2 linked regions of the Astyanax mexicanus genome follow. The protein of the gene in region 2 interacts with the protein of the main gene of each other region in a biochemical or structural test. Links are inferred from orthologs where the notes say so. Each region holds a gene or a part of one and is shown on either strand. Other genes may lie near its edges. The genes, in order: faslg and lyn.

Region 1 (8,596 bases), on a different chromosome or scaffold from region 2:
CCTCCCTTAGCAGCAGCAACTGAGTTTATGATAACTGGTAATGACTCTTTCATATTTCTGTTGAGTAATTTTGGCCTATTCTTCACTGCAGAATTGTTGTAATTCAGCCACATTAGAGGGTTTTTAGAGCATTTAGAGCATATGTCCACCAAAAAGTAGATGAGTCTGGCTCCGCTCCAGTATATTAAGTGAAGTGCTTCAATTACGAACAAGTTGTTTTAAAGTTTAGTGTTATTTAAAGGAAAATGCTGGTTTGTGTCAGCAGATACTAAAGTATTTATTATTATGTATTACTCTTTTTAAAGCAACAATTTATTTTTTTACACATTTAAAAAAAATATACAAAAAGCCTTAATCAAATATTCACTCAAGTCTGGTGAGTGAAGTCAGTGTATAATGAACATGAAAAATTCTATTGTCTTTTTTTTGTGCACTTAATACAAAGAATTTATCATTTTTGCCTGCCATTTCTTTGATGATAATGCGGTTTAAGCATCAGCTGTGAGAAAAATCTTCCATTCCATTGAAAGGTTGTGAATCATTCCTGGAAGCCTCTTGTATGTGATGGCTGAATCTGATATTATTTAGGCCAATTGTGGTGATTCATGTTTCATATTTGTTTGGTATAGCTTAGTAGTGTGGTCTAGATTGCAACAGAAACTAGGCGCAGATGTCGTTATCCAACTAGGCCGAATGTCTTGTCAGACAGTGTAACTGTCAGAATGCCATGTTAATACGGATATTTTTGTTTATTTATCATTATACATTCATTGTTGTTTTATTTCATATGGTTGTTAAAAGGGGCTAAAAATCTATACGAAAAGGTGTAAAAATGAGGGTAAAATGTGTTAATAAATATACGACTCTAAAATAATATTTGGTTAAAAAGAGGACTTTTAGTTTAGTGTTGCTTTACTGTGGAGCGTAATGAGTCACGTGATGCGAGTTAGTTAGGCGGGTAACTGGAGAATTATGGGTCAGAACTAACTCGGCGGCAGAGAGAGAAGACTAACTTAGCAGCAGAGGGAGAACAACAATTAAAGCTAACACGAGGTCTAAAGGCGCACACGGTAAATGTTTGTCTGTTAAATATTGTTTAGTAATGTGTTTAATATGCCTTTTTTCAATGAATCTTGTGTTTCGAGTTGTACACAGAATTGTTGTGCTAGCTAGCATATACTGAACGGTTGCTTTGTTTTGTGTAGTTTTCACGGTGTCCGATGAAGGACCAGAGAGAGGGAGAGAGAAAAGGAGAAATAAACCTTCAAAAGACATCAGTATGACTCGTGGCCATTATTCCATTAGACCGGTGTAGCTACAGACAGCGAGGGGCTCTGAAGAGTTTCCATCCGTGAAAAACTCAAACTGCTGAAGGAATCTGAGAAGGATTCTTGCTCATTGGAAACTTTTCTTAGAGTGCAGAAGCAGGGGGCTCACCAGAACATTGGAAAAAAGAGATGAGTGGTCATGACTGACTTACTATTGGGGAGGAGCTGACAGATTGAAGGATTGGCAAACGGACATGGAGTGCTCTGAAAAAAAAGAAGCAGCCTGTTCCCGTAAACTTGTGCTGAGAAAATGTGTTAGTGGTGGGTATGCTGCAGCAGTTGTACAAGTTAAAGTGATGCCGCTCGCATCATTTGCTTCAAACCGCACCACTAACCTCCACCCCCTCACCCTGTCTGTTCTCATGCAGACCCCTGAGACTGCGAGTTGCAAGACTGAAAGCGCATGAAGACACTCAGTGCGTTTCATGTGGCAGCTTCTGTTCCTCAGTGGTTGTTTGATAGGGTTACTGAAACTATCTTAGTCTGCTGCATCATTGTTTACATATACAATCAACCCCCTGTTTCTGAAATGGTGATCACATGTATACAGTCTCTTCTTTACATTTTTTAAAAACACATATATTTGCTGCTGAAAGCCGTTGTGGAGGGTATTGATCAGCCTCACTCTGCTCACAGTGTAGCAGATCTCACTTAGTCATTCTAAACTTTTTAACAGCTACAACGTCATAGTCCTGCCCCCGAGCGTTCTTCTCAGAGCTTAGAAGATTTCACATATTCTTTACCTGCTGACCTACATCACTGAAACGGCACGGGTGGTCTTTTGGTTAAACAGTGTGGGTCTTCTGAAGAACTCTTTCTAGGCCATTATGGTGAGACACTGTATAAACTGGCATTACATTGCACTGACTCTAAAGCAGCACTAATCAAAAATGTAATAAAAATTGTAAAAATAAAATAAATAAAAAGTGCCAATACAAGAAGAATGAATAAACAACAGCACTCTACAAGGCTAAATGTGTACAGTACACTCTAAAAAAATAACTTTTAAACAAAAAAAGGATTATTTGACTTGGAAAAGTAGACAAACTATGTTGATAGAAATGTTTTACAAGATTTAAAAAGACCCACATACAATTATGCTTTTACATAATAGAGAAAGATCTTTTAAGCAGTTACAGTGGCTTGTACTTTTTCACATACAGTATTGTCACCGTAAAACCACAACTTTTATGTATTTTATTGAGATTTTATAGGATAGACCAACAGAAATTAGCACATAATTGTGACGTTTAATTCAAATGACATAAAAAATACCAAAAAAAAAAAGTGTGATGTGCAAAAGTGTTCAACCCACATATATCAATAATTAGTAGAGATAGCTTTCACTGCAGTTACAGCTGCAGGTTTTTTGGGGTTTGTATCTACCAGCTTTGCACATCTGAAATTACTAGTTAGAAAGTCTTGCCACAGAAGCTCAATGAGATTTATGTCAGGACTTTGATACATTAATAGTCTCTGTTTTAAACCATTCCACTGTAGCGCTGGCTGTATGTTTAGAGTCATTGTCTTGCTGGAAGGTAAAATCTCCTTCCAAGTCTCAAGTCAATGAATTCTATTTAGAAATGTAAGGATATTAGGATATTTTGAATTTTATTTTGAATACTTTTGTACGTCACACATTTTTTAAGATTTTTATTTCATTTAAAATTTGGAAACCATGTTTTATTTTTGTTCAACTTCCCTATTATGTGCTAATTTTTTTTTGTTTTATCATTTAAAATCGGGAAAAAAAAGTACATTTAGGTTTGTGGTTGTAAGGTGAAGAAAGGTGTGATGAAAAGTTCCATGGTTATGAATATTTTTGCAAGCTTCTGTAAATGGCTCTTTAAGAAATTATGGTTCTGTTATTGTTGTTTACAAAAGACGATACAAATACACAATAAATCTGCTTATACAGTGGAGTGAGTCACTTTAATACAACCTGTCTGACAGCATAAGAACCTTTATTTCCAATTTTCTACCCAGTAGAGTTTTTCAAGTTCAATTAGGCACAACTTTGTCAACACAGCATCTACACGAACAAGGAGTCCCTCAAGGGAGTATCCTCTCTGTCACCCTCTTCAGTGTCAAAATCAACAGCATTGCAAAGGAAATCAGTCCAAATCTCATCAGCACTAAGATCAGCACTTGGTCTTTCAAAAATGGCTTCAAGTTTTCTAAACCCAAAACTGTTTGCACTCACTTCTGTCAACTGCGAACTTTACACCATGAGCCATTGTTATATATGGATGGTGCAGCAATCCAAGTTGTGAAAGAGGTTAAATTCCTTGGTCTTACATTTGATAATAAATTATCTTTTATTCCACATATGAAGAATCTTAAGAAGAGATGTTTTAAAACTCTGGACATTTTAAAAGTGCTGACAAAGACGAAATGGAGGGCAGAGAGGACTGTTCTGCTACGCTTGTATAGAACACTTGTGCGATCCCGTTTGGACTATGGGTGTTTTGTCTATGGATCGGCAAGAAAATCTTACACTCAGATGTTGGATACTATTCATCACCAAGGTTTAAGACTGGCCTTAGGGGCCTTTAGAACCTCACCAGTGCAGAGTCTTTATGTGGAAGCTGGAGAACCATCCCTTCAACTACGACGTTTGAAACTTGCTCTACAATATGCAGTTAAAATCAAGGGAAACAGAGATAACCCTGCCTACTCCACTGTCTTTCAACCGCAGTATCTGAATTTTTATGAGGCTAGACCCAGGACTATCAGACCCTTTGGACTGAGAATCAAACCTTTTCTTGATGATTTGAATGTTGATCTAGATGGATTAACATCTACTCACCTTTGTTCTATTCCCCCTTGGACCCTGAGGCAACCTATAATCGTGCAGGACCTGAGTCACAAAACAAAATCAAGTACACATCCAAACGAGTACCAAAGTTGCTTTCTTGATGTTAGACAACGCTTTTCATCGTACATTCCAATCTATACTGATGGCTCAAAAACTGATACTTGTGTGTCCTCAACAATGGTAGTCTCTTCCAATCATTGTGGAATACGCATCCCAAACTTAGCTCTATTTTTTTTTGGGCTGAAGCCCAAGCCTTGCTTTTAAGTCTTGAATACATCGAACAACACCACCAACACAAGCCCCTGATTTGCACAGACTCTAGATCATGCCTTCAGGCTTTGGAATTTTTAAAGACTGACCACCCCCTGATTGTTAAAATACTTGAAAAACTGGTCACATGGGCCTGAGTGGTAACGAAAAGGCAGATAGTGCTGCTAAAGGAGCTTTGAATGAAAACATCTCTGAGTGCCAGATCCCTGTCTCTGATATCAAACCTGTACTTTCGTCCTATATTATTGATAAATGGCAAGCTGAATGGGACAGCTGCGATGACAATAAGCTGCATGAAATCTGCACTTCTGTAAAACAAACTGTAACTCAATTATTTTCTTGTAGACATGATCAAGTTGTTTATACAAGGTGTAGGATTGGACATTCTAGGCTCACCCATGTTTTTTTTACTAATTAGAGATGAACCTCCCCTGTGTGATCACTGTGGCAATGTTTTATCAATCAAGCATATTTTATCTTGTCCTGCTCTTAGAGTGAAAAGACAGCAGTTTTTTTACAGAAATTACTACTGTAGATATTTTTAATAAGGTCTCACCTTTGAAACTTTTACCTGGTACAGATCTGGCTTTGACCATTACTATTAAGTAGAAAAGAGCTGGTCCGCTAAAAGCAGCTAAAAGATCTCAAAAATTAACACATTATGCAGATCTGAAGTTGGTAGTGTGATGGTCTGGGACTGCTTTTCTGCTTAAGGGCCTGGACAACATGCTGTAAAAGATTAAACCAGGAATTCTGCTGTTTACCAGACAATCCTGAGACTTTTGCAGCAGGACACGGATCCAAAGCACACAAACAAGTCCAAGTCCACAAGTCCACCTCTGAATGGCTTAAAAAAACGAAGGTTTTGGAGCCTAGCCTAAGTCTGATTGAAATGCTGTGAATGATCTTAAACAGGACATTCATGCTCGAAATCCCTTCAATGTGGCAGAATTAAAACAATTCTGTAGAGGAGAGTTGGCCAAAATTCACCAAAAGACTCATTGGCAGTTTTTGGTAAAGCTTGATTACCTTTGTAGTTGCCAAGTGTTTTGGTTCAGGGGCAAACACTTTTTTTTTACACAGGGCTAGATTGGTTTGAATTTTTTTTCCTTTGATAAATAAAACTATCATTTAAAATGTGCTTTTTATCTTTATCTGGTATTAAAGTTTGTTTGTTAAAATTTTGAAAAATATCAGTATGACAAAAAAGCGAACAACAAAAGAAATCTGTTGGGGGCCAATACTTTTTCACACCACTGTACATGACTAACTGTAATGCATGTACTCTGAGTGCATTGTGTAAGCAGGCAAAAAGTTTTCCTGTCCGTGATGTCATCAGAACCCATCTCATCAGCATATGCATGCTGAGAGAAAGAGAGAGAGGTAGGTTGTGGGAGGGCCACATATGAAGTGTCGACCACATAAGAAGTCTTTTAAAAATTTGTAGCTCTGTAACTCTTTTTATACACACACTCACCCTTGGACAGACTGAGAGCTGTAAGCATGAATGGTAACCTAAGGTACCAGTATCCACCAGTGTTCACAGTGGATGCTGCAGGAGGCCTTCATCAGCAGCATCATCATCATCATCCCCAGATGGCTGCTGCAAGGACAGATCCGACCCTGGTTCCCTGCTGGACCTTTCCCCCTGCTCGTGCCCAGACCAAGAGGAGGAGCTGTGGAGGACTGACCTCTGCTGCAGGAACCCTCCTGGTTATGGTGCTGGTGGTGATCTTTGCTGCACTGGGACTGGGAGCCTACCAAATTAGGAAACTCGAAATGGAGGTGATAAAGCTCAAGAAGGTGAGAAGCTTCACTTTTGTCAAGAAGAGTTTCATAAAGTGACAATAAATAGCTGATTTTGATGCCTATGAAGAATCACAAAGAATAAGTTCTTCTTTGTATAGAAGAAACTTTGAATCAGTTCAGCATTTAATAAATGTAGCATTCAGTGGGTTCTTTAAATTGATGGTTATGTATGACCATTGCCTTTTAGAAAGAGCCCCCCTCCCCTGTTTAAGTGTATGATGTTTGATTATGTATTATGTGTTTGTTTGTTTGTTAGTTTGATCTGGAATTAACTTATATTAAATTATAAATTATTTAAAGTTCTAAATTATTTAACTACAAAAAAATAGTGGCCACTAAAAACCATGAGCAATTGAAGTGCTGCCCCCCACACAGGTCCTTGTCATTTAAGTTCAATGTATTAATTTCTAGATTTTCTAGTTTTTTCTAAAGCTTAGTGCATTAGAGCATTTTCTCTGCATTTTGACATTTACTTGAGCACACTCGGACCGGAATCGTCTAAAAAAAGATAAAGGTTTGTGGTCACCAGTCCATCAGTACAGGATATCCTCTACTCAAACCAGAGCGCAGTCAGACATACATCTCACCTTCTTCTTAAGAAGTGAAAGCTGAGCATAAAGGGCACAAAGATGGTCTCTCTACACTCTAATTCATCCTCATTTACACATTAAGAAGTTTCTGTACATTGTTTACAAGCACCAGTATAAAAATCTGATGCATATGCAGAATTTAACACCCCTCATACTGTATTTCTATTTCTTTCATGACAGGAAATGAACAAACCAACTGAAAGCATGGCACCGCAGAAGCTGGTTGGTAAGTTTCTCAGGCTGTTATTACCTGTGGCCTGCTTGTGCTTATTGCACTTCATCAAACACAAACATGAGAACTAACCTTCTTCTTACCTTTTGACTTGTTTTCAGGAAACCAAGTAGAAGCAAATGAAAAGGCCAATCATATTGAAGCTGCACATCTGATGGGTAAAGACCATTTCTTTTTTCTAAAGGGTTCTAGTGTGAAATAACTCCTACACAACAGCAGGCATCATGTGTGGGATCAGATAAAAGACTAATTAAAGATTCTTTTTAGGCTGCACATGAACACACAAACACACACACACAAGCACTTTCCTGTGGATGACTAAGTGTGTCAGACTGCAGGGGTGTTAAACCTGTCCACATCGAGCCTGTTTGTCTGCAGGCTGTCATTCTAAACAACCTGCAGCTCTCCTCATTTCACTTGTTTAATCAGTTGGTGAGTCTACAAACAGCTGTGATGCATTTCTGCATGGCTAGAATTAAAACATACAGCCAAACTGACTGCCCATGGAGTTCTACCACCCAAACCCATGTGGATCAGGACAGGAACTCAACTCTTATATGTCAAAATCTCATCATAAAATCATATATGTCAAACTTTTAATTCTTAAAGGTGCCATTGAATACATTTATTAAGTATATTTTCTAATATCTATATAGAAGAGACACAACTTTGGCACAAAAAAAAGTCCGCATGTGGTTCTACACACCCTTTTCAACTGTGTTCTTGTGTTTATGCAACATGATGAGTCACTATATTAAGCAAATATTTAGCAATGTTTACTGTATAGTGCTGGTATCATGTCCTGTGGTGTGGTAAGGCTAAATAAGGGTTTTTCATACCCTCCTGGGATTTATGAAATTGTGGCAAAGGTTGCCTCATACAGATAACTACAAGTAACCTAAATCCTGTTGTAGTTAACTAACTTGCAAAGGAAAATGCAGTTTTTCTCTCTAGGGCATATTTAAGAGGCTTTTTTTTAATTGAATACAATATTTGAATATATACTTTTTTGAAATTATGAAAGTGAAAGTGTAAACGGTGGGCTCACCACATATTGGTTCTGGTTTCATTAGTAATGCTGAATTGTAATACCAACTTTTTCTTCATTTCCATTCAGGAAAAATGCAAAGAACAGACACCTTGAAGTGGGAATCCAAGCATGGCCGTGCTTTTACAAAGGGCATCCAGTACCGAGACGGCAGTCTACTGGTGAACAAGACGGGCCTCTACTTTGTCTACTCGCGTGTAGAATTCCTTTCAAATAACTGCAAACAGAGGGACTCCTTGGTCCATGAGGTGTATGTGAAGAGTAATGGTGAAAATCAAAAGCTCATGGGTGATCGCAGAGAAGGTTTCTGCCAGGCTGGGAGCACAGAGGTGTGGACGTCTGGAAGCAATCTTGGCTCCATCCAAGAGCTCAAGCAGGGTGACTTGGTGTTTGTTTCTGTGTCCCATCCGGAACGGCTTAGCCATGAATACTACGATAATTACTTTGGTATCTTCAGCCTCTCCTGAACAGAGACTCGTGACTAACAGTACAAATAACAGA
Region 2 (8,638 bases):
TCGGTGTCATTTCCACAGTCAACCTGAGTATTTTTGCTGACCATGTCCATCCCTTTATGACCACAGTGTACACATCTTCTGATGGCTACTTTCAGCAGGATAATGCACCATGTCATAAAGTATGAATCATCTAGACAATGAGTTCACTGTACTTGAATGGCCTCCTTGGTCAACAGATCTCAATCCAGTAGAGAACCTTTTAGGATGTGGTGAAATGGGAGATTCGCATCATGGATGTGCAGCCGACAAATCTGCAGCAACTGTGTGATGCTATCATGTCAGTATGGACCTGATTCTCTAAGGAATTTTTCCAGTACCTTGTTGAGTCTATGCCAGAAAGAATTAAGGTAGTTCTGAAGGAACCTGGTACTAGCAAGGTGTACCTAATACAGTATGTATATAATGTCAGCTGTAAAAGAGATCTCAAAATTACTTTGGCATATGAGATTTGACCGCAATGCGAGGAAACCACCAGAAGTCCACTGAAACAGAATAGCAGGTGCTCAAAGGTGCTAGAAAATGATTTAATGTTTCAAGAGAAACAGAACGCTGTGAGCTTCACTCAGGAATTCATGGCACGACTACCATCCAGAAAGCTTTTGTATCAAAAGACCAGAGTGCAAAGACCTTTACAGGAAGTTCTGAAGCACAAATACAGTAGCATGCAAAAGTCAAAGAACACCTTGCGTTTATTTAATTCCTAGCCTAGCTTTCAGGAGATATTTCTGCGGAGACAAGAAATAAGATAATCCTCCAGCATCCGCTCAGGACTTCAATGACTGCATTCCAAGAAGATTAAAGCTATTCTGGAGGCGAAGGGTGGCCTATGTCCAACCTTCAATCAGAACAATTTTTTGTTACATAGACCAGAATACACATCAATTAAGCATAAAATCATCGATTAACCCACTGACTAATATGTGGGATCTACATATTAGGCAGCAAATGAACAGTCAGTTCCTAAAGGTGTTGGGGTTTTTGAAAGCAGGAAAAATTGACTTTTAAAAAAAGTGTAGGAATCTGAGCTACGTTGATATCAATGTCCGATTTGTAATGACCAAGGGATTGAATGGTTTAGAGGATCTCCAAAACATCAGATCTTGTAATGTCTTTGAAACAGATGCCCTGCATGGTGTCCAGCATGTTTCGCTGAGCATAATGCCTCTTTTCCCAAACTTGAAATTCCTCCAAAAACTTGCATGGACACAGTGTTTGTTCACGGCTGTGGTAATTAGCGCTATCTGGCTAATATATCAGTTTAAACTGTGCTTTAGGCCAAAAGCAAAATCAAACTACACCAAAGAACAGTGAGGACGGGGCACTAAAACCGCGAAAGAGAGCAGCATTAGTGACGTTTGACCACAACCTTGAAACCTGAAGAGACTAACAGTTAGTCTCTTACAAACAGTATTCACTCTCACAGTAAAGACGATTAAAATCACATTCTAATCAGTAAATCATTTATTTATTACAGCTACATCATCTACATAAACAAGCTACTGATTGTGTAAACTCTGTAAAACCCTGAATTGCCTGCATTAAACTGATTTTACAGTCATACCTATGGAGTAGTTGTAACCCAGTATGAATCTGAAGGGCTTGTAATTTTACACTAGAATAGTCAGAATCATAGAGTGATTTAAATCCTGTGTGAATCTGCAGTGCATCTAGTTTTAAAATCATTAAAAACAAGTATGATTATGCAGTATGTGTAGTTTTAACAATCTAAAAGTAGTAATTAGGTGTAATTTTAACCCAGTATGAGTGTGCGGTGTAAAGCTTTAACAGTCTTACAGTGTTAATTAAGATGTGACAACAAGTATGTATTTACAGTAGGCATAGTTGTTTCAGTCTAGTAGCAATAATTGTCTATTTTTTATCTAGTATGAATCTGCAGTGTGTTTAATTTTATCGTTGGCATTCATAATAATGAACATGTTTTAATCCAGTAAAAATCTAAAATGTTTGTAATTTTAACAGTATGACTAAGAGTTGTGATGTTACTTTAGTCCAGTATGAATCATCACAGTGTGCAAAGTCCAGCAGTATTAACTGTAGAGTGGTTTTATTCCAGTATGAATCAGCAGTGTACTTTATTTTTAAATCTGACCGTCATTATTTTGTAGTGATTTTAGTCCAGTATGAATTTAACAACCATACCATCATAATAGTAGCATGGTATTAATCCAATATGAATTTGCATTTTGTATATATTTTACAGTCTGACAGTGTTAAATATATTCTTTTATTAAACCAGTATGAATTTGCTGTGTGCATAGTATAACAGTTGATCACTCAAGTATGAATCAACATCATGTGCAATTTTTACAAATTGAACTCTTAATTTTGGTTGGCCTGTTTTAATCAGTGTGTTTACAGTTTGTGTAGTCTGGCAGTAATAATTGTATTGTGATTTTGATCCAGTATGAATCTGCAGGGTATATCATTTTTACAGTAAGACAGTTTACAGTATGGTCTGACTTTTATTCAGTATAAACCTGCAGTTTTTATAATTTTTACAGTGAGACAGTATGAATTATAGTCTGATTTTGATCCAGTATGAATGTGCTGTAAAATTGGAGATATTGTTTTTATTGAGACACGTTATTTTAACAGTGTAACCATACTAATTAGTGAGCAATTTTAATGCAGTATGAATATGTCATGCTAGTAAAATATCAGTTATCAGTGAGACGTGGTTGTGAGGTGTATGGTAATTGGTCCTACAGTGTATTACTGAAGTGAACGTCCAGCCTATTACCATCCTTTCTGTGGAAGTTTGAGGAGCTGGGGGACAATCTGCCAGTCAAATCTCATACATTATACAACCTATTTGAAGTAAACAATGTAATCCACCTAGATTTATTGTGTAGGTGTTTAAAGTACAGCAGCTTCAGATTAGTCTTAATGTTTTATTATATTTCTCTCTCTCTTTATAGATTGCAGCTCTGGCAGGCCCTGGTGGGAAAGTGGAAGTGGAGCAGAACTTTCTCAATAACAAACTCAAAACTATAACTGCATACTTCGGCAGTTTGATAAAGTCAGATTCTTAGTTTCGGTATTATTATTTTAACTCCCTCTCCTTTTGTACTTTATACACAGTTCTAATAATGTTCAGTGGATTCTGTACTATAATGTACTATAATGTGTCTTTCTGTATGTTTTATCCTACCATCCTTTTTTTTTACAAGTTATACCTGCCATGTTTGTAAAGGGAATTGTTTGTTTATTTGTTTTTTTAATAAATTAAAGTTCATGTCCTTTCGTGTGCATGTGTGTGTGTGGTCTTTGCCCTCACAGTGTTCACACTAAAACTGTTGACCGAGTGTGGGTGTGGGCAGGCCGGGGAACTGTGGAAGTACACTCATTTATCAGGGCTTAATTGTTTGTTAAATTTGAGGGGTTGCCAAATTGTAGTATTTCCTGCTTAGGAGTAAATGCAGTATAATTCACTATTTATCATCGTTCACTTATCTAGAAATTTGGCTCCTTGACCTGTTTTTTTTTTTTTTTTTTTTTTTTTACACCCAGATCAAAAGGGTAGTCCAACCATTTTTATAATGTAGGCATAGTTCATAGTTCATCACTTGAGATATATGCATAGTCATTCAGAGATTGAAATAGTTTATTGGAGAAAAATGGACTAACTAAAATTGATGGTAAATGTAACTCTGCATTCCCATGCCTACAACACAAATATATAATATTTTGTTTGCGGTCCAAATCAACCAGTGAATCGTTTCCTGTCTTTTAAATTTCATGTTTAATGCTGCTGACTGTATAATAGGAAAAAAAACTTTAAACTCAGGACTTAAACAGGAATAAAAGGGCTGCAAAATTTGTGACGATGGCGAAGACATTTGCCAGTGTTGGCTTGGTGGTTAGAGCAGTGTTATTGGTGATGGGGTTCTGGGTTTAAAACCCAGGTTAAAAAAAAACAGCCATTGTTAAACCCTTAAAGGGAATCCATTAAAGGAGGACGAGTAAACTACCTTAAAGTACTGTGTGTATAAACAGATTTTTCTTTTAAACTTCCTGTGCACATTTAAAGTTATCAGTGCTTTGTTTTAACTATTAGCACCCTCAGAATTCTTCCAGTGAAGTGTGGAACCGTTTTTGGCGACAAAAAAAAATAAAATAGTGATTTCTTTACATGGGCCTGTTAGGAGCATTGAATGCTGGGGGTGAATGGAGGTAGGCTACTCGACAAAAGTTCACACTCGTTATCATATTTTACTACACACAGGAATTCTCCTTTAAGCCTTACTACTTCCCAGTCCCAGGTGGATTTATAGTTCAATTTTAATGTGTCAACACAAATTTTGAATATGGTTGTCAGGAGCCCATATCTACTGTTTATTAACCACCAGAAATACTGTATCAACAACTGAGCAATACCATAGTAGCCACCTTGCTAAAACAGTACTCTGTAGTTTTTTTTTTTTCAATCAATCTTTATTCTGATGCTTTAACTGAGAAACCCCCAAAACAATAACTAAGTAGGAGTGTCTGCGTGGATTAAACATACAGCTCCACCTGTCTAAATTATAGTACGTTTTAGATCTACAACTTGTGCATTGACTTCCATGCGGCTGTTTTATTGGTTCTGGGCTGAAGGCCGGTTCAGTTTAAGCCCTCCATCGTTCACTGCACTGAGTTTTAGCCCCCTTTATGCAAATGCAGTGCGGGTAGCAGCAGGAAGTAGCTGCAGGTTCCTCTTTCTGTCTGTCTGTCCAGCTCACTTCAATGAGTCTCGCGACCACAGGCGAGAGAGAGAGAGCAGCGCGCGCTCGTTTGGCTTTACCCTCAATAAACTCTCTTAACTTAAATGCGTCACAACATTTAAGCTTCATATAACTACAGGTAAGATAATCCTTTAAATACAGTCTCTCTCCAGCTCCTCGTCTTTTTCCTTCCTTCTTCTTTTCTTTCTTTCTTTCAACTCTTTCCTCCTAACGAGCTGTTATACTCCTATCCGTTCTACTTTAAATCTTCTCATCTGACACGTTAACTAGCTGGTGGTTTTCAGGTGCTAACCTGGATAGTGTTAGTGAAAAAGCTGCGGTATTTAAGGTGGAACGGACAATTCGAGTAATAAAATAAGTTAAGGTGATTTGTACAGTTTTGTGACGTGAACAGTTAACTTACAATAAAAGGGTTAAATAAGGTATAAAAGTAAGAAGATTTATAGTAAAACGTTAAAAAAGGTTTAGAAATAGCAAGAAATTACAGTACAGCCATATCAATTTGTATAAAAGTGAAAAAGCTAAACAAAAGGGCTATAAAACAGGAATTAACATTAAAAACAGTAAAACTGTAAAAAGAAACATGGGTGTACAATGTTAAAAAGCTTTAAAACTAGACAATATTGACAGCAAAACGTTACAAAAAAAAGGCTATTAAGCCGATAAAAGATAGAAAACGTAAAACCATATTAAAACAATGAAAGGGTGTGAAAAACAAGTTGACAAGTCAAAGAGGGGTACAAAAAATGAGAAATTTACAGTAAAACATTAAAAATGGTTTAAAATAAAAAATGTGAGAGTAGAACATTAAAAGGATATAGAACTGACAGACAAACATTAAAACTGTATGAAAATAGAAAATAATACTGTAAAATATTTGTAAAAGGGTGTAAAAATTGGAAAAGCAAAACGGTACAAAAAAAGGTACAAAAAAAAGAAAAATTCACAATAAAAAGTAAAATGTTAAAGAGATATAAAATTGGACAATTGACAAAAAAAGCATATGAAACTTAACAAAATGTCAAAAGAAATATTACATTAAAACAGTAAGAAAACAAAAGAATTCCGTAAAAAAAGGATACAGGGCGTAAAAACTGAGAAAAACTAAGAAAATGGTATAACATCAGGAACATTTGACAATACATTGTGAAAGGGTATAAAAACAGCCAAATCTACAGTAAAACATATATATTTTTTATATAACTAGACAAGAATTAACAGTTGAACATTAAATAAAGATATGAAAATTAACATAACTTGACAGTAAAACATTAAAGGCATACAACAGAAACATTTGGAGAGAAGTAATAGGACTGTTGCTGTTTAAGCTACTTTTTCTATTGGCTAACTAAAGTAAACTCTTATTTGTCTCTATATATAGATTCATGTTTAGATTTTGAGAAAAATATCCCACCTTTGCAACATTGTATATTTTTTTGTAATCTTTATCAACAGACATTGCAAATTGTGTTCACATCCTAATGTAGCCTAAAGCAGGAACTGGTCACTCAGTCCAGAATGACAGTTAGAGCGTGAGGTCAGATCAGCTTCTGCTTGACCAGAATAAAATTGCTGCTTAATGCTCATCGTTGCCAGAAAAATGGAGGGGAAATCCTGTACAAGGTCCCAGAAGAGCTTGAAGTGAGAGATCTTAATCAGCAGTGGCTTTAGAAGAGCCCAGTAAACTCCCCCGACTCCCTTATCCCATATCTCATGGTTTTACACATAGTACACATGCAGTGCATTAAACAATTAAGCTCAATTAATATTTGAAATTTAATTAGTAATGATCTTTTCATCTGTACTTTTATAAAAGTGAAGTAATAGTGATTAGTTGGCACATTTTGTCTCGATGGTGCAATGAATTACTCTTTTTGGTCTTCCTGAACACACCCATTTCTTAACATTTTGTCTTTCTTCCTTTTTCTTTTTAATCATGTACATTTTTAATTAACTACTTAATTACTAATCAATAGTGACAGTGCTTATTAATTTAATACCTTCAAACCACTAATTTAGTTTAAATATTTGGCTAGGGAATTGTGAAGTGTGAACTGATTACAAGACCCTCAGCCGATCAACCAATACATTAAAAACAATTTTGTGTAGGTCGCATTTGTGACACCTACATAGGTCTGTCCTCTCGATGAGGGACTTTACAAGACCTGTGAAGGTGCCCTGTGGTATCTGGCATCAAGACATTAGCAGCAGACCCTTTATGCTATGTAAGCTGGGACGTGGGGCCTCCATTGATCATATCAGTGGTCTTCACTGGTTTCCTGTCTTGAAGCACTTCTGTGTACTGGAAAAATCCCACTAAAGACTTGCCTGATATTTTGGAGATGCTCTGATCCAGTTGTCTAGGTGTCACTATTTGGCCTTGCGACAGTGTCTCAGATTCTCATGCTTGCCCTTTTTATCTTCAAGAACTGACTGTTCACTTTGAGCCTAAAATATCCCACTTCTGGACAGGTGCCTTTGTAAAAAAAATCAACCAATCCATGTTTTTTGCCTCATCTGTCCGCAGTTATAATCTATTGACTGATTTATATAATATAAATAATTGACGTTTTATTTATAAAAATCCTATAAATAAACTTTTCTGGTTTTTAACATACAGAACAGAATTTGGCTATAAATAAAAACAATAGTAATGATATTAGCCAGATGTTTATGTCTGGAATAAAATGATCATATTTTATATCTATAAAAATTAAATAACGTACAATTTGAGGTTTAAAGGACGATTAGTATAAAAGCTACTTGGCCTTTCGTGATACTAGAGTTAACGCCGTATCATACAATACACTTTTATACCCTCAATCATTTTTGCCGGCCTCCGTATTGCAAATTCACTTTAGTTTAGTTAATGAGTATGTACGCACCAAAAATAAAATCTGTGAGCAAAACTCAACAAAATGAAACGTTTGCCCAAAAGTTGAATAATAAATATAGAACACATTTTTTTTCACAGCTTTTCATTAATTTTGTTTACTTTTTTCACCACTGCATCAAATAAAATGGATTTTTCTAAAATGAAACTACAAAACTACAATTTTAGCCTTTTAGATTATCTTATGTACTGTTTTACTGAGACAATGAAAAACAAGTATCTCCTTTGTTGAAAGACTGTTTCAAAATTCCTTAATGATTATATCAGTAGTGATTCTCCTAAATTACCTGAAATAAACTTTTTCCATTTCCATTGAAAGTTTTTATCTCTCTCTTGTAAAGTAGCATTTTAATCTCAGTTCTGGTGTCAGTTTTGTTCTAGCCGTTGTCATCTTGTTACACTTGTCAGTGTTCTGGGTACTGGTCACTCTGGCCACAGGGCTTGTTACAAAATCTGAACAGGAAGCGACTGTAGAGCAGCTCTAAAATGAACGGTATTTTCCAGTTTTACAGAATGCCCTTAAAATGCCTGCTGAACCAATTTTTCCTTCAGTTTCATTAAATGGACGTGTTGACTAAGGCTCTATAGTATACAAACTTACTGGTTTTACAGGTTTTACACCTAAATACACAAAATTAGGCTAATGAGAGGGTCATGCAACCTACTGTGGAATAAGAATTAGACGTAGAAGCTGTTCCTTTATGTCTTGTAGTAGTGCATTGCTTTGTTGGTGTTCTGGTTTACAGTGTACTCTTAAAAAGGAAGGTGCTTGGAATGATTCATTGAGGGAGGTAATGTGTCAAATGTTATGTGATGTGGAACTAGTATTGTGTCCCATGACTTTTGCCATGTCCCATGAATGCTAAAGAATGCTGTACTGACCTGTGTATGTGGTTTCTGTCAGAGTCAGTTGTCTGTTTACACAGACAATTCTAGCCGGACATCATTGGTTATAATACCTTTTATGATGCATTCACATAAATCATATTAGACTTTGAAC

Evidence for each region.
Region 1: the proteins of lyn (region 2) and faslg form a complex in vitro, tested with the Homo sapiens proteins (2 studies listed by BioGRID, with this or other methods). The link is inferred for Astyanax mexicanus from reciprocal best matches to the Homo sapiens genes LYN and FASLG.

Annotation. Positions count from the first base shown.
Region 1 is NC_064408.1:62,927,402-62,935,997, forward strand, and holds the start of faslg (tumor necrosis factor ligand superfamily member 6), read left to right. Parts: upstream 1-4,992; 5' UTR 4,993-5,919; coding exon 5,920-6,219; intron 6,220-6,995; coding exon 6,996-7,041; intron 7,042-7,148; coding exon 7,149-7,205; intron 7,206-8,164; coding exon 8,165-8,562; 3' UTR 8,563-8,596. UniProt on the Homo sapiens protein: Cytokine that binds to TNFRSF6/FAS, a receptor that transduces the apoptotic signal into cells. Involved in cytotoxic T-cell-mediated apoptosis, natural killer cell-mediated apoptosis and in T-cell development.
Region 2 is NC_064411.1:37,347,574-37,356,211, forward strand, and holds the start of lyn (tyrosine-protein kinase Lyn), read left to right. Parts: upstream 1-4,715; 5' UTR 4,716-4,863; intron 4,864-8,638. Other genes in the region: tgs1 (trimethylguanosine synthase), read left to right, coding at 2,940-3,053. UniProt on the Homo sapiens protein: Non-receptor tyrosine-protein kinase that transmits signals from cell surface receptors and plays an important role in the regulation of innate and adaptive immune responses, hematopoiesis, responses to growth factors and cytokines, integrin signaling, but also responses to DNA damage and genotoxic agents.